3 linked regions of the Diceros bicornis minor genome follow. The protein of the gene in region 3 interacts with the protein of the main gene of each other region in a biochemical or structural test. Links are inferred from orthologs where the notes say so. Each region holds a gene or a part of one and is shown on either strand. Other genes may lie near its edges.

Region 1 (7,447 bases), on a different chromosome or scaffold from region 3:
TCCCTGTTTGGAGGCCCCATGTGGCGCCTGAGTTAGCTTTGGCAGCTCTATTTGAAGGCTGGGGATGTTGACCTCCATCCTTTGGGTAGGGAACACTAGTGATTTTCCCAGGATGGGAGGCCAAAAGAGGTTAACAAAATGAAGACAGTAAAGTTTCCTAAAGTTGGTCTAAATAGGATTAGGCAACATGGCCTAATGAACTTTGAGGGGAGTGGTGGAGACCAAAGCCAGACTGAGCAGGTTGAAGAGTGACTAGGAGAGGCAGTGGGAACAGCATGAAGAGATAAGTCTTTTTAAAAGTCTGGTTGTGAAAGGAGCATTTTCAGGAAGGCATATGTGGTCACACAATTTTTTTTTCACAGATGAGACATTCTAGAGCATGTTTGGATACTGATGAAAATTATCCAGTGGGAAGGATCATGAAGGGTCAGATCCTCCTTCTCAGAAAGGCCATCCTTGACCACCTGAAAACATATATGCTGCTAGAGGTCCTCTAGCAGATTAGGACAAAGCCATCTTCCTGAGTCCACCCTCTCCCTAACTTGACTCCCTCATTCTTCCTCAATTTAAGATACTCCAAAGTGGAAGAGTGGATATTGAACAGAAGTTGGCTGATGCGATTGAGATTGAATACACCCAAAGCACTTGATAAATGTATCCAAAGATTACGGAGAAATCAATATGTCAGACCCATAACCATGTCTTCATTCCGCATTTTCTCCCAATTTGAGCTCTCATTTCCAAGAAGAGTTGGGCTTTGGGAAATTCTATGGATCAGGATATGATTTAAAAAACAAACACAAAAACTCTATAAAGTATATCCCATAAAGAGTTAAATTAAACTTTTTGAAGAGTTCTTAGAAAGTGGAGCAAGCTGGGGTATCAATGGTATGAAAATAAGAAAATTTCCATTTATATCACCCTTTAATTAAGTTACCTTTAATGATGTTATGTTGTTATGTTTCATAGCATATAGCTGCTGAGACCCACCTTTGGAGCAGATAGCCCAAAGAAATATCCCAAGAGAGAATAATTTTTTCTTTTTCTTTTGAAAAAATTTCCCCCCAAATTTCTTTTATTCAACTCCAGGGCTGATATGGCAACGGGGTATAATACAGTTTATTTGTTGACCAAGAAATATTAAACAAATCTTTTTAGTAAGAAAAGTATTTTTATATTCTAGGCCAAATGTAGAGATATATATACCAAAGCAAGTGTATTTTATTAATAATGAGTTTTTTTTTTTTTTTTAACACTGTGGTGTGTGTATATGTATGCAAGCCTGTGTGTTTGAAAGAAAAGACTCAATTGTTGGTGAAATGCAAACTGCTTATCCATTTCCCACTGAGAACAGCTCTAAAAGGATGTTTTTCCTTTCCCTGGTCATTTCAGTGCACTGGAAACAAGAACTATTTCCATGGAAAGAAAGAGTAAATGCCTTCCCTTCAAAAAGCTTATGAAAGACTTTTTTCCCCCATAGGTTGGTGAAGACATATGTTAATCTTGTTGCAGAGAAATCTGTTCTAACTCTCAGGTGTGACCCACTGAATCAGCTCATAGTGTTCCGGGTCCTGTTCTCCACAGGCTAAAACAGAATTATGCATCCTTGCACCCCCATACACAACCATTCCCACAGAAATCTCTTGGTACAATCTTCTGCTCTGTGTTTTCTTTGATATTTCTTTGAATGGCTCCACTAAATTCAAATGTATTTGACTCCAATTTAAAGTACAACTGTAAAATTTTATCTGGCAATTTATAAATTGAATTGCAAGTATCTATACATTGTTTATATGAAGAACTACTAGCATAATGCATGATTCCATTTATATGAAATGTTCAAAATAGGCAAATCAGAGATGGAATGTAGATTAGTGATTGCCAGGGGCTGGGCAGGGATGGGGGAGTGAGTGGGAGCTGGAGGTGACAGCTAAGGGGTGTGGAGTTTCTTTTTAGGGTAATGAAAATGTTCTAAAATGTATTGTGGTGATGGTTGCATAACTGAATATACTGAAAACCACTGAATTGTGTGCTGTAAATGGGTGAACTGCATTGTATATAAATTATATGTCAATAAAGCGGTCAAAAAAAAGAACTATAAGGACATGCTTAGAATATTTTAAAGAAGGTTTAAACAAAGTTCAAAAAAAGAGAAGAGCACCAGATTCCTTCTTGGAAAACCCTGGTTTAAATCCTGGTTTCTTCACTTCCTGGATTTGGGAGTTTGGTCAATAGGAAAACAACACGATTTTCGTAAGTATGGATTTCCTTGTCTATAAAATAGGGATGTTCTACCCTACCTGTTGCACTGGCTAAATGAACTTGGGTTATTAAAAGACACACACATGTGTGTATGTACTTTTAAAAATTTGCCTGGCCTACCTAAAGCACGAAGTGAATATTTGTTGAATTATTTTTGCATACATCACTTGGCCAATCGATGCCTGTGGTTTCTCCAGGCATACAAAGCAAACCTATATGTATGGAAGGTCTTACTTAAGCCAGAGCCCACAGGGAACTGGTGAATACAACTCCAGACCAGTCAGAGAATGTAGTCAAGGAGAGATTTCATTGTTTGCATCTGAACGTGAGGAGCATATGACACCTTAACAAAAATGATCTAAATTAATCCAACTGAGAACCAGGTAAAGAGACTAACCACTTTTCGGATTGTTAACTATATGAGCTATTTTTTCAACTAAAATAACCAACCCTTGGGCTTCATCTTTTTGATTTAAAAAGCCATTCATTATTTTCTCGGCCCATTCATCTCCAGTGTTCACAGGGAAACTAAATTTATTTCTTGAATTCCTCAATCTTATATTTAGATTTCAAACTGGGAATCTCATGAATCAAAAGTTAAATTAAACTAGTTGCCCATAAAGCCATCATGTCTCTATTTTTATACGTTGCTAGGAAAAAAATACTGATTAAAAAAAAAAAACAACTTGAAGTCTTACCTGATTTCAGAAATAAAAGCAGTAGAAGAACCACTTCCTTATGGTCCATTTTGGAACTGGCCAGCGGTGTCCAGAAAACAGCGTGTCCCAGTCCCAAGATGTTATTGACTTACATGAAAGGAAATGCATCCACAAACAAGATAATCACATATAGTTAATTATTCTCTTAGAAGCCTATTGCCACTGAGCACTGAGGGTTCAAACATTACCTTGACTGGAGGATCTTACAAAATGTTTGAGAGCAGAATTTGCAATAGATGCTGGGAAGTGGTGAAAGCGGGCCCTGCCCCCTCGGCGGCCCCGTGCTGCCTTCTTCTCTCTTTAGTCCTCACCTTACTCCCAGTCCATCATCATTCTTAGTCTTGTTTTCTTCTCTCTTCTTTCATTCTCTTTTTTTTTTTTTTTTTGCTTAGGATGATTAGCCTTGAGCTAACATCTGTTGCCAATCTTCCTCGTTTTTTTTGCTTGAGGAAGATTAGCCCTGAGCTAACATCTGTGCCAATTTTCTCTACTTTGTATGTGGTTCGCTGCCACATCGTGGCTGATGAGTGGCATATGTCTGTGCCCAGGATCTGAACCAGTGAACCTGGGCTGCCAAAGCAGAACCCGCTGAACTTAACCACTATGCCATGGGGCTGGCCTCTCATTCTCTTTCTTTTGGGTAAAAAAAAAAATCACAATAGCTCTCATTTGCTGAGAACTTTCCTTTGCCAGACACTCTGCTAAGTGGTGCATAGGCATAGTTACATCCAACCTTTAAAACAAGCAATATTATTATCGTCCCCATTTTAGATGAGGCGACTCAAGCTAAGCAAGTTTATCTTTCCAAGGTTACTTAGCTAACAAGGGGTGAAATAACACATATAAGCTAAGGCATTGTTGTTAACATCCCCACATCCTACTAGTGTAGAAATTACAACATAAGTGAAAATATTTTATTATTATCAAAATTTCTTTATGCCTGGTGGACTCACGTGTTTTCTGTGATTATAAATTACATTACAAAATTATCGATCTTTTCCCCAAATGAATTCACAGTGCATTAGATTGTCATCCTCGTGAAATAAAGCAAGAGTGGTAAAATTAAGTTTAAAGAGTCTGTCTTGATCTTAATTGTTGAGTCTGTACATTTCCCTGGCTTAAGGCTAGTATGACCAGGTAGTAAATGCTTTAAAACCGCTATTTCAGTGTTCAAAAATATTTAGGAATAGCTAAATTGACTCTATCTAAATGTGAAATAAGAACGAGAAATTCTTCTCTCTCCAGCTATGGAACTCCTTCCTATAAACTAGCAAAGTATAAAGGAGGGCACCATATCGTTTTCGGTGGTACCTCCTGCAGAATTCCCTGGGATGGAAGGACAGTCATGTGTCACTTAATGATGGGGATATGTTCAGAGAAATGCATCCCTAGGCGATTTTGTCATTGTGTGAACATCACAGAGAGTACTTACACCAACCTAGATGATACAGCCTGTTACACACCTAGGCTCTATGGTACTAATCTTATGGGACCACCATCATATATGCAGTCCATCGTTGACCGAAACGTCCTTATGTGGTGCAATGTTCTGTACTGTGTAGAATTCTCAAGAACAAAACGTGCTGGAGAACAAGAAGTTGGTGCTACTGTGAGGGGCAGGGATGACCTAATTATATTTCCTAATTTTCTACTTGATCTTAGCTTTCTTCTCTCAAACTCTGTCTTCCTGTCTCCTCTCCCTCTCACCTAGTGGCCGAGTGTATTAAAGGGGACACAAGGTGCAGGCAAGTTGAGAAATCAGCATTGGGCAGACATTTTTTCTTAAAATATCTGAAATGTCTCTTAGGGGGATTATGTTGGTGTATTTGAGAAAGTACTTTGGGGAAAAAACAGACTCTACTAATATATAATGTTTCCAGTCTGCATTTATTTCCATTTAAAATAGTTTAGCACTGCCTCGCAGATAAGGCATTTCAGGAACAATATTATCAGAAATTCTATTACCACATAATTTTCTTTTTCCTGTTTTATTTTTTTTCTTATTTGGGTGGTGGTGGTATGCCTTTTGCTCCCTTTTCTCCTGGAATCTTCTAGAATGCTTTTGATTCTACCAATGTTATTTTCTAAATCAGGTTGCCCTCCTCTGGCCTTCTGACTATACATTCTTCACCACGTTCATAATATATCAGCATCATGAGAGCACAGATAAACACGAAGCAGGGTTTTGCTCTTGTGCCACCAGATACTGTAGTGTGTAAAGAGAAGAGCAAAGAGGAATGTATTGTTCACATGCAGACAGGGGGGTGCACAGAGACTTCCATTGCGTCACAGCACTACATGGTTTAGCTTCATAGGTACAGGGTAGGCATAAAGCAATGGACTATTCTAGATCACGCATAGGAATCCCACAACAACACTCTTAGAGGGACATCGGATAGTGGTTTTGCTCAAGGCTGTAAAGACAATTCATTCAAAATAAGTCTTTTTCTACTTCAAAGAACGGCAGAAACTCAGGAAGGAGATAAAGAGAGATCATCTTTGCCTACTATTAGCAGGTTGAATAAATTCTGAGATGTGCATCTTTATTGAGTCCAATTCATTAAGTATTTACTGACCACCTACTGTGTGTTAGATTCATTTAGGACTATATAAAAGGTAAAATAAATAAAAATTAAAAAGTTACAAATTACAGTCTCCTCCATCCCCCAGCCTCCACCTAAAAGAACTCCAGGAAATTTTTTATCTAAGATTACTGGAGGCTTCTGCTGCATTGTAGCCAGAGACAAGGACGTCAAAATATGATGGAAGAGGGATCGAATTTCTTAGCTCTGCCCAGCAGGGCGCCTGCAACCAAGATCCACTCAGGTTCCTTTAGGAAGGGAAGAATTAGCTAGTTCCTCCCCTCTAGGCATTAAAATGGTGAATTCCTCGCAAGCACTTTACCAGGAAAGCCACAAACACCAGGAAAGTTCAACCTCACCAGGCGAGAGAGGTAGAGTGCCCCCTTCAGTCTCGCCTGCACCCACCTTGCCTGAAGTGGAAGCTGTGGCCAGGTCACAATTTCCCAGGTGACATGCTTTCATACCGCGTGGACCCTGTCTTGCAGATCTGACATTTACATCTGTCACCTTTCTGCACCGACGTTCCACCTTCCTCCAGCCCCAGCAGAGCTCCTCCCCACCCAGGCTCTGCCACCCTGGAACGGTCATTCTAAGACAGCTCATTTCTTTACCAGGAGCATCTCTGAATATCCCCAATAAGACCATGTCATTTCAAAAGGAAAACAGCGGAAAAAATAATCTATTAAGAGTTCAAACGAAGTATGCCTTCATTGTTGCAAGGGTTCTTAGCACGTTTATCTTTGCCCTTGATGTCAGTTTACAGATTGCTTTCACTCTGTTAGTTTATCAGGGCGTATCACCCAGGACACACGCTCTCATTAATCTGAAGGTGCCTTTCATGTCTTCATTTGACCTTTTTCTCAGGTCTGTTAGCCTTTGTTCCTCAGTCTCTGGGGCTGTGGAATGAGACCGTTATCGGCCCGAGCTCCCGTGAGGAGATAGCAGGCTGCTCAGTTAGCACAGGGGTTAAAATGTAACCCGCCCAGAGCACTTTCCAGGTGAGACCTAAGTCAGTGGTCAGCGAGCTGTATTTTCTTCACTGGCTTGTGCTTGCGGAAATTGAGATGTTTATTCAGTTTTGGAAAAAAAAAAAGAGCCTTCATTGGATATTTCCTCGTCAGACTCGTAAGATGCTCGAGAAAAACAGTAACAGAGAAGGTAGTAATTCCTGGATAGTTTACCAGCCTGCCCTGAGGCAGCACGAGGACTCCCCAGAGACCCAGGCAAGCGTACTTTCTGCTCCGAGGTCCAGATTCACTGCGGAAAAACAGAGAAACCAAATCATCCTTTCCATCTCGAAAATTCATTACTCTCAAAGTTAATTAAGACAAAAAATTTTTTCACAGTATTTCGGAGAGACATGTAGAAAACACTAAAATCTTTTAAGAAAAAAATAATGAGTACAGGTAAAAACTGGTGAAATCTGAGCAACGTCTGTGGGCTAGCTCATTACTGCACCAATGGCAACTTCCTGGTATTGATAATGAACTACAGTTATGTCAGATGTTCCCTTTGGGGGAGGCTGGGTGGCTGGGTGATGGGTACACTGGACTTCTCGGTACTATTTTTGTAACTTCTTGTGTGTTTATAATTATTTCAAAATAAAAAGTAAAAATACATATGTCTATATACGTATATATTTGTATATACATGTATATATGTGTGTGTATGTGTATATTTGGATATGTGTGTCTATATTTGGATATATACGTATATATTTAACGTATATGTTTATGCATATATTTAAATATATTTACAGAACTTTCAAAGTACAGAAACTTGTCCAGGGAGAATCTAAAGTTATAGAACTTCTAAATCGGGGAGTGGAACTCAGGCTTTGACTCAGGCCCCCCCCCTCCGCCTCCACCCCTCCCCCAGGCCGGA
Region 2 (7,619 bases), on a different chromosome or scaffold from region 3:
CAACAACATCACTTGGGAAATATTCCTGCCAAAGACGCACCGCCCAAATCTAATTATGACACATCTGACAAACCCAAACTGAGTGACAGTCTACAAAACAACTGGCCTCTTCAAAAAATCTCAGGGTTGTGACAGACAAAGAAAGTCTGAGGAATGTTCCAGATTAAAGGAGACTAAAGAGACATGACAATTAAATGCAATTCATGACCCCAGATTGGATCCTGGATCAGGAAAAAAAATGCTATAGAGGACATCTTTGGGACATTGGTAAAATTTGAATATGGATTGTATATTAGACAATAGTATTGTTCCAATGTTAAATTTCCTAAATGTAATCGTGTGCTATGATCATGTAAGAGAATGTTCTTGTTCTCAGGAAATACTGAAGTTTTTAGGAGCAAAGGGACATAATAGCAACAACTTACTCTCAAACGGTTCAGAAAAAAAATTATGATAATTATATGTATGCATAGACAGAGACTGATAAAGCAAATGTGACAAACTGTGAAGGGTATATGAGAGTTCTTTGCATTGCTCTTGCAACTTTTCTGTAAGTTTGAAATTATTTCAAAATATAAAGAATGCCAGCCGCCAAAAACAACAACAACAACAACAACAACACAGAGAGGGGAGGGGAGCACACCAGGCTTTCCACAAGCATCTCGCTCTGCACTTACTCCTCCGAGGCCAGGGGGTCCGGGAGGTCCGGGAGGCCCGGGGGGTCCGGGAAGTCCAGGCTGTCCGGGGATGCCATCTCGGCCAGGGGGGCCTGCGGGTCCCTGAAGGGGGAGAGGGCGCCTGGGTGAGCTCAGGTCAGGAGCCACACCAACCTCCAGCCCCCAACAGCCCAGAGAGGGCGAAGCTTACCCTTGGGCCTCGGGGGCCAGTGTCTCCTTTGGGTCCCTATGGGGTTGGGGGAAAAGAAACAGAAGCTGGGTTAGAGAAGGGAGGACCGTGAGGAGTCACGGGCAGGGTGGCAAAAGTCGAGGGTAGAGGATTACCTCTACTCCTGTGGTTTGTTCGTCCGTAGGTGACACTGGGGGGAGAAGAGACGCGGGTTAGAGGCAGGGTGGGCTCCGGTGCCCCGACGGCCCCGCCCTCCGCCCGCCCCAGGCCCCTAGCGAGCGTACCCTGGCCTTCAGGGCAGACGGGGCAGCACTCGTCCGGGGGGACAGAGGCTCCGGGACAGTTCTTGGTGTCTTCGCAGATCACCTCATCGCACAATACGTTGCCATTGTCGCAGACACAGACCCGGCAGGGCTCGGGTTTCCATACGGCTCCGTCGTGGTACCTGAGGCCGTTCTGTATGCAGGTGACTGCTGGGACTGGGGCAAGAGGGGAAGAGCGGGGCTGTCAGCGACGCCCGAGCCTCCCACCTTGGGGCTCCAGGGACCCCAACCCTATCTGCCCTTCCTCTCTGTCTTAGAGACACATTTAGATTTTCCATTTCTCGCCTCCTCCTTTTTTTTTTTTTTTTCTTTTTCCCTAAATCCTTAAAAGTTCGTCTGCTCCTCATCAGGGCCCGTGACAGTGTCGAGGCCCCTGGCCAGCGCGGCTATAACTCTTTCCAGTTCTCAGGAATTTAAACAAAGCTTTAGGCCGGGGTTGCTTCCAACTCCAACCTCAGCCCATTGGCGCTGAAGCCAAGTGAAATAAAAAGCCACTGGGTGGGGGAGTGGGGGGTGGCGGAGTGGGGAGGAGAAGGGGGGGCCCTTTCAAGAGGGCAGGACTGTGGGGCGTGGTTTGGGTGGAGACAGGAGGAGAGGGTGGGAGGAGAGATGGCAGGTCCAGCCCCCATTCGGCCCCATTCCCTGAGCAGGTGGGATGGCGTGGGCGGAGCTAGGAGGATGGGGAGGGGCTGATTGGCGTGGCGTCCCGCCCAGAGACTTGAAATGTACCCCAAAAGTAGGATACGCCCTAATCTCCAGCTCCCAGACATCTCAAAAGTCCTCTCTCAGGAACGACCCCCGTTTTCCAAAGCCAACCAGTGCCTCTGGGTCCCTCTTTAGCCAAAGAACCAAAAGTCCGCAAATAGCAATGAAGTTAGTTAACCACGCCCACCGCGCGAGCCTCTCTCCAGATGGCCACTAGGTGGCGGGCAACACTAAGCAATTTCCCGGGCCTGGCCGCTTCCGTTAGAGACAGGGGCTACCCGGTCTCCAGCTTTATTTTCTAGGTCTAGAGGTGGGGTCCACACCCGGCAATAACCTCCGTTTTCTCTCTCCAGCTCCTACGGCGGGAAGCCCTGGACAGGGAGGCACGGTGCTCAGTGTTGATCAGCAGGGGGCGCAAGGACCCGCCCTGCCAAGTCGCGCCAAAGTTTCTCAACCTCCAACCCGCCCACACTCCGCGCCCCCTCCCCCCTCAGCCTAGCACCCCCGCGGCCCCAGGAACACTGTCTAGCCCGCAGAGAGGGCAAACAATCTTTCCCTGTGAATCATCCCACAGCCTTCCCGACCGCTTTTACATCTTGGGCTCCAAATTCCCAGCTCGGCGACCCCATCCCATCTTCGACGTACTTGCCCCCCACCCGCGCCCAGATCCCCATTTTCCCTGTTGTACGCCGCAGTGCGCGCTCGAGACTCCCTCCTGTGCCAACTCAGGCCGAGCTCCATCCTCCTCTCCCACTTCTGGGGGACGTTCCTCTACACTCCCCACCCAGGGTGCTCGCCCTTCTCTCCCAGGGCGCGAGGAAGAGCCCTAACCATCTCCCTTCCATCCCTGAATCTCCGGAGCATCCCCAGTCTCAGTTTAGGTCGCAGACCCCCGGGACCGAACGCAGGGCAAGACACCAAGTAGCCCTGGACTCTCAAAAGTTTGGGACTTACTGTCTTCTTCTTGGCCCTCCTCTTGGCCGTGCGTCAGGAGGGCGGTGGCCGCTAAGAGGAGCAGGAGCCGGAGGTCCACAAAGCTGAACATGTCTAGACCCTAGACATGTAGACTCTTTGCGGCTGGGGTGGGGGTTAGCGTCCGCTCATGCGTGGCCTCACACTCCGCGTGCCTCCTGCTCCGACCCCGAGGAGAAACTCCCGTCTGCTCCGATGACCGGCCCGGGCCCCTTTTATACCATCTTGATGGAGAGCGGGGAGGAACCCTGCCCCTGGGAGAGGGGGAGCCGGCTGCCCGTCCCCCAGCCAATCAGAGCTGCCTGGCCCGGCCCCCAATTTGGGAGTTGGAACCGAGAAGGGGAGGAGGAGGGAAGGGAAGGGAAGGGAGTCCACCACACATCTCCCCCCTTCGCAGCTCTGCCTCCCCAGCCCCCCAGTCCAGCCTGGGCCAGAGATGCTGCCGCTGGGGTGCATCTAGGTCCTCAACATAGTGTGGCCTAAAGAGTGGGTAGGGGCGCCTCTTCAGCTTTCTTCCTGGGACCCCCAATCTGGAGAAACTGGAATTGGGGAGTGGGTGGGAGCCTTCCAAAGGTGGAAGGATTGGGGTGATTGGGAGAGGGTCCTCCTGGCCATGCCTCATGCACGCTCCTGACATCCTTGGCAAGAGCTAAGGGATGGATATGAAGAGGCCGGCCGAGAACCCCTCCAAAACAGGAGACCAGGGAATTAAAAAGATGTACCTGTTGGGGTGTCTTCTGGCGTGGCTGGGTTATGGAGCTTAGGAATATTTGGGGACCAAGTTAGAGATTCCTTTATAGACCTTAAGAATCAGATACTTGTGGAGGGGGTGCTGGCAAGAGGGGTTTTATTTTGAGGATGTCGATTCTTCTGCCATGCCTGAGGCTCCAAGACGGACTCAGGTCCTCTCCCTCAAGCTTCAGGTATGACTGAGAGAGACGAGATGGGGAGGCTGAAGTACCGGGTGAGAATTTGGCTACATGGTCTCTCCAGAAGGAAGCTTTGGTGTTGGTGGGGCATTGCTGGGACTCTTCCACCCCAGGGGAAGTGACTTTGCACGGAGGGCTATGATCACTGATGACTTAGAAAGGGGTCTCGTGTTAGGGTGTGCTTGGTGGCCAGGGCCTTTTTAGAGACTCTTCTACCCAGAATAGTCAAGCTCCGGTGGAGGGCACTTGACCAGAGAGAGGGTTCTCCCTCTGGGTGCTGCATAAGGCCCCCTCTCTGGTTGTACCTGGACTCAGGGTTGGGGGTATACGGGAGAATTTGGGTGTCTGGGGGAGATTTGCCTTTGGGGGTTTGGGATGGACTTGCATGGGAGGGTGAGTGACCTTGTTTTAGAGAATGTTTCCCACTGCCCCACCTCTTTCCTGAAAACCCAGGGCATTTCTCTCTGCCCCCGGAACCAGGAGAGAATCATATGTACCCTGAAAGGGGGTGGGCACCCCAAGAAGTCTGTATTTGGGAGAGATGCCTCTAGAAGCCAGTGTCCTCCCTCCCTCGTGTCCCAATCTCCCAACAGTGCTCTACCTCAACCTCAATCCACTCAGACCCCTGGTCCTGTCAAAATCTGTGGGCCCAAGAGAAGGCAATGGGGGTCCCTTTGCAATCCCCGTCAACTCGAATCCCTCCCGCACAGCTTCCCCACCCCCATCACTCCAGAGCTGCAAACGTGGAAGCGGGGAGTCCCGCCTCCCCCAAACCATCCAAGATTCCATTGCCTCCCCCCGCCCCTCTCCACGCCCTCCCCCGGCTGGTTTTGTGCAACGAAGGCAAAGGAAAAAAAAAGACCAAGGGAACAGAAGGGGAGGGAGCCACGTTGGCCGTGGGCAGCCAGGATGAGCGTGCGGGCGGGGCAGCGGAGGGAGACTGCAGGGGCTATAATTAAAGGGAAAATATAGAGTTTCCAGAGAGGCAAGCGGGAGACAGCAATGGAGGGACAGGCCTTCATCAATTATCCCCACCATGTGGCAGCAACTTGTGGCCCAGGATCTGCCCCCGCCTAGTGCCAGCGACTGCAGGGCAGGACTGGAGGCTGAGATGCTGAGATGGCAGTTCTTGCACCCTCCAGTGTGGATGGGAGACAAGGGGCACCATCTCCCTAATAGAGGAAAAGGGTCCTGTCCCCCATAGTAGTCAACCATGTGGAGTGGGTGTCTGGGGTGGGGTGTCACAGGCTTGGGGCAAAGGTTGGTGTGACCTGCCCACCTCCCTTCTGGCTGAGTTTGCACAGCCAGAAGGACTCCTCCCTGCAGCCCCCTCCCCACATGCACCCTGTCCAGACTGTCCTACTCTCACCGTCAAGAAGAGATTAAGCCTCAGAGGTGCGGATTGGAAGCGGCTACATCATGGGCTTCTGAAGGATGTTCAGGGACCCCTGGGATGGGGGTGGGTGGGCTTTGTGTGTGTGGCATGTGACAGCCACTGCCCCTATGTCCAGTTTTGGACCTCCATCCCCGGAGCTGCGAGCAGAGGGTTTCCAAGCATCCTTTACACGTGGCATAGAGCTGAGGCCCAGGGCCGCCTCTGCTACTTTTTGACTTGAAACGCTTGGCGGGCGCCCAGCCCAAAGATGTGTCTTTAATTTCTGCAGCATGACAGTGAGAGGAAGAATGTGCTTGGGGTCTCCTCCCAGCCTGCCTGGGCCTCTTTGGCCAGGACTGAGGGCTTGAGACTTGGGGGGAGGGAGCTGGGGCTGGAGAGGGGAGGAGACGCCACCTCATCTTTAGGAAACTCTGAAGCTCTGGCTTCTTGTGGAATGCAAGACTTCGTCCGGCATTTGGAGTGGGGGGAGCAAAAGCCAAAATCTCCTCCCCCCACCCCCAAGAAATGGTAAAGTCATCAGCACTTAGGGAAAAAAATTCCTCAAGAAGAAAAACAGAAAGAGGAAAGTGCTGAGCTCTAAGTTCTCGCCCTCTCCAGATTTCCGAGAGTGCCCTTCCTCCACGAGGGAGGGGGCGGGCTGTGCTCCCCAGCTCCCCTCTCCCTCTGGAGCCCCTCACGCCCCCAGTCTGGACTCCGTGATGTGGGACAAGGGAGAAGAGGCAGCCCTGGTGTTGGTGCACCTGGTGGGCAGGTGGGTCAGCCCTTTCCAGCTGCTCTGGTCCTCTGCTGAGGTTCCGTTGCCCTCCGTCCCTGATCTGACCTTCCAGAATGGTCTTCTGCCTCACCCTGGCCCCAGACTGGTGATGGAGAGAGGGTCTCTAGAGAGGGGTTGAGGAGAGAGAAGGGGAGGGAGTGGAAGAATGAGGCTGCAGTGAAGACCTTGGTCTCCACATGTCCCCATCATGGAGCCCTGCACAGGTCCTATTGAGGAATTCTGAGGGCAGAGTCCGGGGACAGACTCCAGGTGTGTGGGGTCCTCTCGTCTTCCCTTTCTTCAGCAGTGCACCATCTGGGCCCTTTGGTCCTTAGCTAAGTTCCTTAGTTTCCAGGCAGAGCTCTGCTCTTTCTATGCCTCAGCCTCAACCCAATCCTTCTTTAGCCTTCTGAGATGTCCCTCCAACTCATCATCCTTTCCAGGTTTAGAGGGGAGATGATGAATTCAGTTTGTCCATGTTGAGTGTTAGGTGCCCATGAGACATCCAGTGACAAATGTAGAGGAAACTCTAAGGTGTCTGGGTCTGGAGTTTAGAGAAGAGACAAAAATGGGACCCCTAGGGTGATGGTGTGCATGGAGTTGTATCCTGAGAAAGTACGGAGCAGGGAGAGATGAAGGGCTAGGACTGAGCCTTGAGGACCCTCAGGGTTTAGGGGTAGGGAAAGGGAGGAGGAGCCTGCGCAGGAGAAAGGACAAGAGCGGGAGAAGTAGGAGAGTAAAGAGGAGAGGGATGGTGGATGTCATGTATGCAGAGGGAAGATTGCTCTAGAAGGAGGGAGAGTTATATGCTGCAAAGAGAATTAGTGTGATAAGGAGTAAACTGTTCTCTGGATTCAGCGACATGGCAGTGATTGGAGCCCTAAGTGTGAGCTGTTTCAGTGGAGTGAGGGTGAGGAGGCCTGTCTGGAGTGGGTGAGGAGTGAGCGGAAGGCCAGGAAACGGGGTCAGAGTGCAGACAGCTCGGAGGAGGGGTTGGGTGTGATGGAGAGGAGAGCGAGTAGAACCTCATCCTCCCTGCCTCCTTCTCTTTTTCCTTCTTTCTCTACGTTTCCCCCACCCCCACTCCTGTCTGTCCCCTGCCTCCCTCTGCTGCTTCTTTCTCCATCCTTCCCTCTCTGGAGCTCTCTTTCTGGGTCTCATTTGCCTTTTTGGCTCTTTCTGCCCTCAGATGTCCACATCCAGGCCGAGATGTCCACTTCATTCTCTTCTAGAGCAAGCCCTCAGTCCAGGCTCCTGAAGAGAAGTCTTGATTTCTAGTCCCGGCAGACCCTGCCCCATTCTCTGGGGCCCCCCAGTCCAAGAGGGGAACTTGGGGCAGAGGAACCAGGGGAGGAGCTGGGATGAGCTGGGAGAAGGGCTGGGCGGGGTCCTCAGGTGACACTAGGACTGTTCCACTTAACGCTGCTCCCCAGGCCCGCTCCAGCCAACCCACAGGTCCCAGCCAGGTCCCAACTGAGAATAATGTGCTGGATGGGGACATTGTTGGGCTTGGGGACCTATCCTTACTTCCGCTCTGTGCTGGTCACAAGTGTAGAGTCAGCGCCCATCTTTCCTGCTGGCCGTGAGCTCCCAGGCAGGGACCTGGCAGGTTCCTCATGGTGTTTCTAGCCCCTCAGTATGTCTGGAGGCAGAGCAGGTTTATCAAAGTTTGGGTGAGTGAACTAATTGATTTG
Region 3 (7,323 bases):
CCTTTGTCTTGTGGCCAATGTAGTTAGTGCGGATGGCAGGGCTGGAACCATTCACCACATTGTTGTCGAGGGTGAGAAGGACATTGGCAGCTGCCAAATAAAGAAACACAATGAGAAAAGTGATGGAATATCTTCAAAGAGATGCTCTCCCCAGCCTGCCCCTCGAGTTCCCAAAAGATTTCATTTGGGGCAAGAGATGCAAGTGGGGAGGGAGGGGCAAGTAGGGAGGGAGAGGGGAGAGGGGAGAGGGGGAGGGAGGGAGAGAGAGAGAGGGTAATGCCCTTTGAGGTCACTTTTGTACACCTCTTAACTATGTTCCTTGGGGTAATTTATACACAACCTCCGTTGCTTAAATTTCTCAGCTTGTTTTGGGTGCAATTCCCCCTGATTTCCCTATAGTCCCTAAAAATAGCAGAACACTCACAGCTGGAGCAGCCTTTGTTCCTGAGGATGTCCTCTGGTGTGGTTCCGAAGACAAACCTCACGTTCTGCAGCACCCCCTGTGGGCAGAGGACACACATTACTTGTAGAGTGTGTGTGTGTGTGTGGGGGGGGGGGTGGTGTGAATGGGTGGGGGAGACTGTTTATGTTAGGAAAAGCACACAACAGATGTTCCACAAGTTTGAAAGAGCTCCCTTTAAGATCACCAAGTCAAAATAATACACCAAGATAAATTGCCAAACAACTTTAAAATCTTAACTGTGTCTTCTGCCAAGTCTTCAGTATTTCACAAAGAACTCAGTTATCAGCCTACTGAGAACAGAGGAAATGGAATCTGACACTAAGGCCGGAGGATTTGATGACAAAGAGTTAAATGTGGGAGTTTCAAAGCCACAGTTGCAAAGAGCTAGAAGTGTAAGGAGGGAAAAAGCTGCAGCAGTGAGTATTCACTATTTTAACCTTTTGAAACCCACCACATCCCCGTGAGGAATCAAATAGCAAAGTGGTATTTATTCAGCTCATGCAAAGTATCCATCCATGTCAAGCAATATTACAGTTGGTGGAATGCATTTGAAATAAGTTATTTTCCTAAGAAGAGGATAGAGAGTATCTAAAGCTGGAACAGGCTGTTATAGGAAAACTATTTCTTGTTTCCTTTGGTGGTTTTCAAAGTGTGGTCCCCAGAAAACCAGCACCAGCCTCACCTGGAACTTGTTAGAAATGCAAATTATCAGGCCCCACTCCAGACCTACTGAATCGGAAACTTGGTGTGTGTGTATGTGCAGCAGTATGCGGTTTAAGAAGCCCTCGAGGTGATTCTGGTGCTCTCTAAAGTTTGAGAAACACCGCTTTAGTCCACAAGCAGTATTTCCTGTACTGGAACCCCTGCCTCTCCTGCTATAGCCCTCCTGACAGATCAGCTGGCTAGCAGTGACCCCATGGACTAGGAATCGGAGGAGGGGACCTCACCTGGAAATTGTCATTGACACCTCCTTTTGCGATGCGGAGTCTGGCGATGCTGGCTAGGTCCCTGGTGAAGATGCTTTGGATGGGGACGTCCAGCTCAGCATTCTCCATCTTCTCACAGTCGATGTACAGCTGGGCCCTGTCCTCCTGCACAAACAGGGTGATACTCTTCCACTGGCCAGTCGCCAGGAGCGCTTCTTCCACGGACACCACATGCTGCTTGCCCTGCACGGTCAGGCTAAGGTCAAGGGTGCCCGCCTTGCCATTGGAGACCACGCTGAAGATCTGGCCAGAGTGGTCTTTCCGCTCCACGGCCAGCAGTGTGCCCCGAGTCTTCTTCATCTGCCTCAGGGAGGCCAGCAGGAGGAAACCTTTCTCGGCCCGCACAGCATCCACTAGGTCTTGGAACTTGTCATCAGGCACAGGGGGGATCAGGTTGGCATCCTCGATGCGGAAAGCTGGGCTGGAAGGATCAGGACCCTTCACCAGTCGGCGCCCAGAGCCCTTGCGGGCAGCGCCCGTGAGTTCAAAGATGTCGAACACGCTGTTGTCTCCTCCAGACTCTGTTGCACAGGAGCAAGACAGGCAGTGAGCCTTCTAGGCTGGGGCCAGAGGGGAGGGGCTCAGCTCTGAGGGGTGGGGTCAGAGGGACAGGGTGAAAATGGCAATCACTGAAAGAGATGAATAAACACCACAGTTGCAGGGAACCTGCATCCTGATGTTGAATCAGGGCTCGGGGAGAAACAGCTGGGAGAGGAGAGCATGGGAGGGAGACACAGCTGGGGTAACCAGCAACTCCTCCTCTTCCTTCTCCCCCAAAAGGTATTATACAGACTCACCTGGAATGTGGTTGGAGCCACACACATGTAACAGGAACAGGACACTGAGTGCCCAGGGCAGCCCCATGGTGGAGCTGTTTGTGCCCAGCAGGGATCCTGCAGCAGGAAGCACAGAGCCCAGGGTCAGAGGCAGCCAAGCAAGGAGGGTGGGCAAAAACTGGGGAGTGGGCTTGGGACCAGGGCTCTGGGGATCCCTCTTTGGTCCCACATTTGCTGGGATAAGGGGACAATAGTATTTACTTTGGAGAGAGCATCCGAAAGAAAATGGGAGAGTTGAGGGGAGGAGATTGCGGTTTTAAAGTGGGGGGACCGCAAAGACCAGCAGCCTAAGGGCTTTTCCTCGGGAAGTCGAGGACCAGGAGATGTGGGTGGGGGCGCAGGGAGGGCACGGGGAAGTAGCGACTCTTCTGGAGGACTGATAGGAAGGTTTAGGGAGGACTTGGAGAATAGAAGAAAATCTTGGGGTGTCCTGAGAGTTGGTTTGTTAACTCCAAGGCTGGAGAGGATGGCTCTGGAGCCCTTCCTCGAAAAGAGTGCTCCAGTGTCTGGGAGGGACAGGATGGGGAAGGTAAAAAGTGTGAGATCCGGGGCCCCTGGCGGGCTGAAGCCTCGGAGCCCGAGGTAGGTGGCCAGGGCAGCATTGGTCCTCGGCAAGCGCCCAGAGACCCCTTACCTGTGTGCACACAAGTCAGCGGCCGGGAGTGGCGGCGAGGGCGCAGCGGCGGGCGCCGAGTCCGGGAGAGCGCAGGGAGGGCGGTGCGCCCGGGCAGCAGCGACCGGAGTCGGAGGCTGCGGGGTGAGCTCACGGGAGACCACACTCGCCGGCCGGCTCGGGTGCTGTGGCTGGCGAGGCGGAGGAGCCGCGCGCTTTTAAAGGGCCGCTCACATTCCTGGAGATTCCTCTGGCCAATGGGAGGCGGCCGGGCAGGAAGCGGGAGGGGGGCCAGTCTGGGTTCCTCTCTCCGCCCCCCGCTGCCTGGCGCACAACTTTCCAGCTAGAAAGTGAAGGGGGGGCGGTCGGGGTCGGGGCCCAGGAGCCCTGGAACTTCTCAGAAAAATAGGTGCCCGCCCACGCAGCCGTGGCGCACGCGGGCTCAGTACTTTGGCTCTTGCGCCACGCGGTCCCGAGGCGGTCGGTGTGAGCATCCCAAGCAGCAGCGGAGCTTTGGCCAGCCACCCAAGACCCTGAGAGGGCCTTTCAGGCAAACCCGTCTCCTTGAATGCCTAGAGGATGGCTGAGGGGTGGATACTTGGAGACCAAGTCCTTTGGTGAAAAACAAATGAGCCCGCCGGGGTAAATGGGACCAAGAGAGAACCAGTCGTTAAAGAAGGTCCCTCTTCATACTCGTTGACCCTCATCCATCCGTCCCTCCGGGTGGGGGACCACGCGCCCGGCTTCGCGCCGCGCACCCGCCCTCGCCCCACGCCTGCCCTCCGCCTGACCCACTGAGGGAGGCGAGTGCGGTGTCGTGCCGGCCTGCAGGGCGGGGGACAGAGCTCGCGTCCCCGCAGCCCGTCGGGGCACTTTTCTGCGGCTGCCTGTCTCCCAGGTCTCCACGAAGACCGCTGCTCCCAATGGCTACCGCGCTTCCACGGCTTGCCGCTTGGGGGCGGTATGCGTATTCTGATCAAGGGGACGAGAGAGGACAGCTTCTTTCTAGTCAGGAATGTTAAGAAAACTTACTCGTATCCAGTTCCCTCAAGCCAAAATTGACATTGTGTCTTGAAAAACAGTTTTTGTGCCCACTCGTGCTTCTTAACGTGACTCCTGGTTGGAGAATTTGCAGAACCATCTGGCTCCAGGGTCTTAAACTATTTACAGAACAGACCCATAGAGTAATAAATTACCCTCTGCCTATCATTTTATTTCCTTTTTTTTCCCTCCCTAAACGTTCTTTTCATTTTTCGGCTCCTGAAACCGAGGTGTGGGTTACATTTCTGTGGGTGCACCAGTTGCCACGAGCGCTGCCGCTTAATGCTTCTGTCATTGGAAATCTGGTCTCCAAGCCACTGTCCCAAGCCAGCATGACTCCAGCTGCCTGGAATTCCATTCATCTCTTTGGGCTGAGACGTCAGCAGCCACACTTCCCCTGCTGTGGTCCGGCACGATCAGGCTGGCCCTGAGACACAGGGCGCAGGTAGTGGCTTCACCAAATAAGGATGTCAGCCACAGGCCGGGGGAAAGCCCTGGGGTTCACCTGCCTTCTTAGCTCTCCCACCTGGCAGGGCTCCTACCTGCGGGAAACACCCACCGTTTTACATTCATTACACAGCAATTTCACTTTTCTTGTGTGGGAGTGTCGTGTGACAAAGTGCATGTGTGTGTGTGTGGATTCCGGGTGAGTGTTTTCTAGTTGCTTCATATACGTCAAATACCTCTAGAAGATGACAAGTATGTTCCTAAGACACATGTGTGTTTGTTGCTTAAGTAATAGCTAAACCTGACAGATAGATTTCACATGTTGAGAGACAGAAATAAATGTCTCTATCGGATGAGTAGTCAAATCAGATTCCTGTCGTGGAACTCATAGGAATGATTCATCCAAACAGATCTGAAGATTCCAGAATCAGCAGCCACGCATGTCCCTCCCCTTCCTTCTCCTTCTCTAGCATCCTGTTTGCTCCCTTGAACGGTGATTTTTTTTTTTCACTTGCTACTAGTAATGCCAGTTACTTAGGTACAGTTTTCAGAATGGTGGTCACCTGATGGCCCTGCTCCTCTGGCCCACTTGTTGATTTTATACAGACCCGCTGAGGGCTCGAGGTCCACAAGAGACCCACAAAAGCAGGATACGTCTCTCCTTTTATAGAAAGATCCTCTTGCCTAGGCTTAGCCATATGGATAGAGTAGAATCCCACTGGAATGCCCCTCCAGGCTTGCCGCTTCCTGACCAAGGGACTGTAGGAATCCCTTTAGAGTTTCCTTGGAAATTGGCTTCTTTCAACGAAAAAAAGGGGAATTTTAACTTTCTACATGCTTTACAAATAGGAAGGTGACCTATATGGTGGCAGGGAAGAGCTTTCCTGTCAGAAAGCTGACAGAGGTACAGAAGTTATTGACTTCAAACACAAAGGCCTTCCCCAAACCCCGGTAATCCCGTTGTTCTGGTAGAAAGGAAGGATCACAGTGAGGACGTGTCCGGGCAGCTGTTAGGAATCATCCATATTCCTGCCGAGCATCAATATATGCTTAAAATATTCCCCAGAAACCTAAATACCTCTGGGAAGCTTTGAGAAAAGCAGGGATGGGAAAAGGGGAAAGAAAACCTACACCTTTCATGCAGGGGATAGAGTCTTTCTTGTATGTGTGTGTCCTCAACATACAAGAGCTGAGATTTCAGGCCGGTCATCTGACATGGACCCAAGTGATGGGCCTTCCAGGGAGCGGGTCCAGTTCTCTCTTTGCCACGTTGACACCTTCGAGATTATGTATTTAAAATAAAATTTTAAGGCATATGGCATTTCGCTGTAGGATTTCCTTTTTCCAAGTTCCCTTAATTGGATGTGGGATTGAGCTAAAAACTTTGCCAATAAATAGGAGGAAAGGACTGTCAGCAACAGCCAGTTTAAAAATGGAATGTGATTAAGAAGAGCAAGATAATGGAGAAAAAAAATTTGTTTATCCAGCAAAAAACAGCAAGGTGGGCTGTGATTTTCTGTAGCAATTTTAAAAAATGTTGGAAATGTTTAGCCGTGGAAAATTTCTTAGAAGTGAGCAGAAACCGAAATTCATCGTATTCTAGAATAGTCCCAAATTGTAGTATCTCTAAAAGGACGACATCATAATTTCATTCCCTCTGAATATTTTCCCTAGATGGTGGTTCAAAGTTGTTTTAGTTTAGCTACCTCGACGGTCAGAGCCAAAGGGAGTTCCTGACAGATTTTTCTTATCCTTCAGTCAGATACCAACTCAAGCTCCCCCTCCTCCATGAGATGTTCTCCAGTGGCTTTATGTTGCCTTGTTTCTTCTTTCTGTGAAATTTTGAAGCACGCATTATCTCCACCACATAATTCATCATCTTACACTTTTTACTAGTTAGTTTTTCAAAATCAGTTTTATTTTCTCATGTGTAAGGACTAGATTGTACGTACCCAAAGGCTTGGGCCTGGGAAGAGCTCTAATATTTGAATTTCCAAATCGCTTTATGCTTAAGTCAGTTTTTAGCATAGAGGGACTAGACTACTCACCATATCCCTACCAGCGCTGCCATCTCATGCAGTTATGCCTTAGCTCTTGGGGTAGACGAGGTGATTGCCTCCCAAACATTGCACCCTTCCCCACAGAATTGAACCAATATTCTCAGGGAATTGATCTTAGTGGGAAGGGGTAGGACTATTGGTTTAAGGGTAGCTACCTTCTCCACCTCCCACCCTCCCTTCCCTGCTAGTAATTGATTTGTGAATTACCATGTGACCCAATTCTGGCCAGTGAGAGGTTTGCTGAAAGCTGCTGGGAAAAGTTCTTTCTTGCTTTTAAGAAAGAGTCATGTGAAATCAGACTTTCTCCGTCTTCATCTGGACATGAACAAGAATGCTGCTAAGCGCTGTCTGGTGCTGTTGGCCACTAGGGGAACCAAACTTAGCATGAGAGCAGTGTTGGAGAAGGAAGAGCAGAGAGTGGAAAGAACCATCTTCCATGGTATGTTAACCACATTTTTGAGCAGCTAAATCCACCAACCCTAAAGGCCATTGTACCTCTGGATTTCTTCGGACATGTGCTTATTATTTAAGCCAATTTATTGTTTTCTGTTACTTAGAGCCACAAACATCATAACCAATGCAGCTCTTTTTTCTCTGTCTGGATTGCCTTTCACTCAGACTTTGCTTGAGCCTCTTCTGATTTATTTAGGATAAGAAACATAATACTAGGTCATGGGATAAAAATGTTTTAAAGACTCTTCACTTACATGATTAAAGTGCTTTCCAGATAAGTTGCCCTGTTCTCTCTCCTCCCTGTTCCTTTGCCCACTGGCCACTCCAGTCCCAAACACTATTTACTGCTGATGGGTAAGAGTGAGCATTGCTTCCTACTTTACTGTGTCTTTATATCCATCTCTTGGGAACTTTGAGATATAGT

What was found.
Region 1: the proteins of THBS1 (region 3) and plasminogen-like form a complex in vitro, tested with the Homo sapiens proteins (2 studies listed by BioGRID). The link is inferred for Diceros bicornis minor from reciprocal best matches to the Homo sapiens genes THBS1 and PLG.
Region 2: the proteins of THBS1 (region 3) and COL1A1 form a complex in vitro, tested with the Homo sapiens proteins (2 studies listed by BioGRID). The link is inferred for Diceros bicornis minor from reciprocal best matches to the Homo sapiens genes THBS1 and COL1A1.

What each region holds. Positions count from the first base shown.
Region 1 is NC_080778.1:9,496,576-9,504,022, reverse strand, and holds the start of plasminogen-like, read right to left. Parts: upstream 3,101-7,447; 5' UTR 3,010-3,100; coding exon 2,961-3,009; intron 1-2,960. UniProt on the Homo sapiens protein: Plasmin dissolves the fibrin of blood clots and acts as a proteolytic factor in a variety of other processes including embryonic development, tissue remodeling, tumor invasion, and inflammation. In ovulation, weakens the walls of the Graafian follicle.
Region 2 is NC_080757.1:36,084,730-36,092,348, reverse strand, and holds the start of COL1A1 (collagen alpha-1(I) chain), read right to left. Parts: upstream 3,028-7,619; 5' UTR 2,920-3,027; coding exon 2,829-2,919; intron 1,326-2,828; coding exon 1,131-1,325; intron 1,037-1,130; coding exon 1,002-1,036; intron 904-1,001; coding exon 868-903; intron 780-867; coding exon 678-779; intron 1-677. UniProt on the Homo sapiens protein: Type I collagen is a member of group I collagen (fibrillar forming collagen).
Region 3 is NC_080744.1:37,518,649-37,525,971, reverse strand, and holds the start of THBS1 (thrombospondin-1), read right to left. Parts: upstream 3,080-7,323; 5' UTR 2,920-3,079; intron 2,343-2,919; 5' UTR 2,314-2,342; coding exon 2,247-2,313; intron 1,971-2,246; coding exon 1,411-1,970; intron 501-1,410; coding exon 425-500; intron 91-424; coding exon 1-90. UniProt on the Homo sapiens protein: Adhesive glycoprotein that mediates cell-to-cell and cell-to-matrix interactions.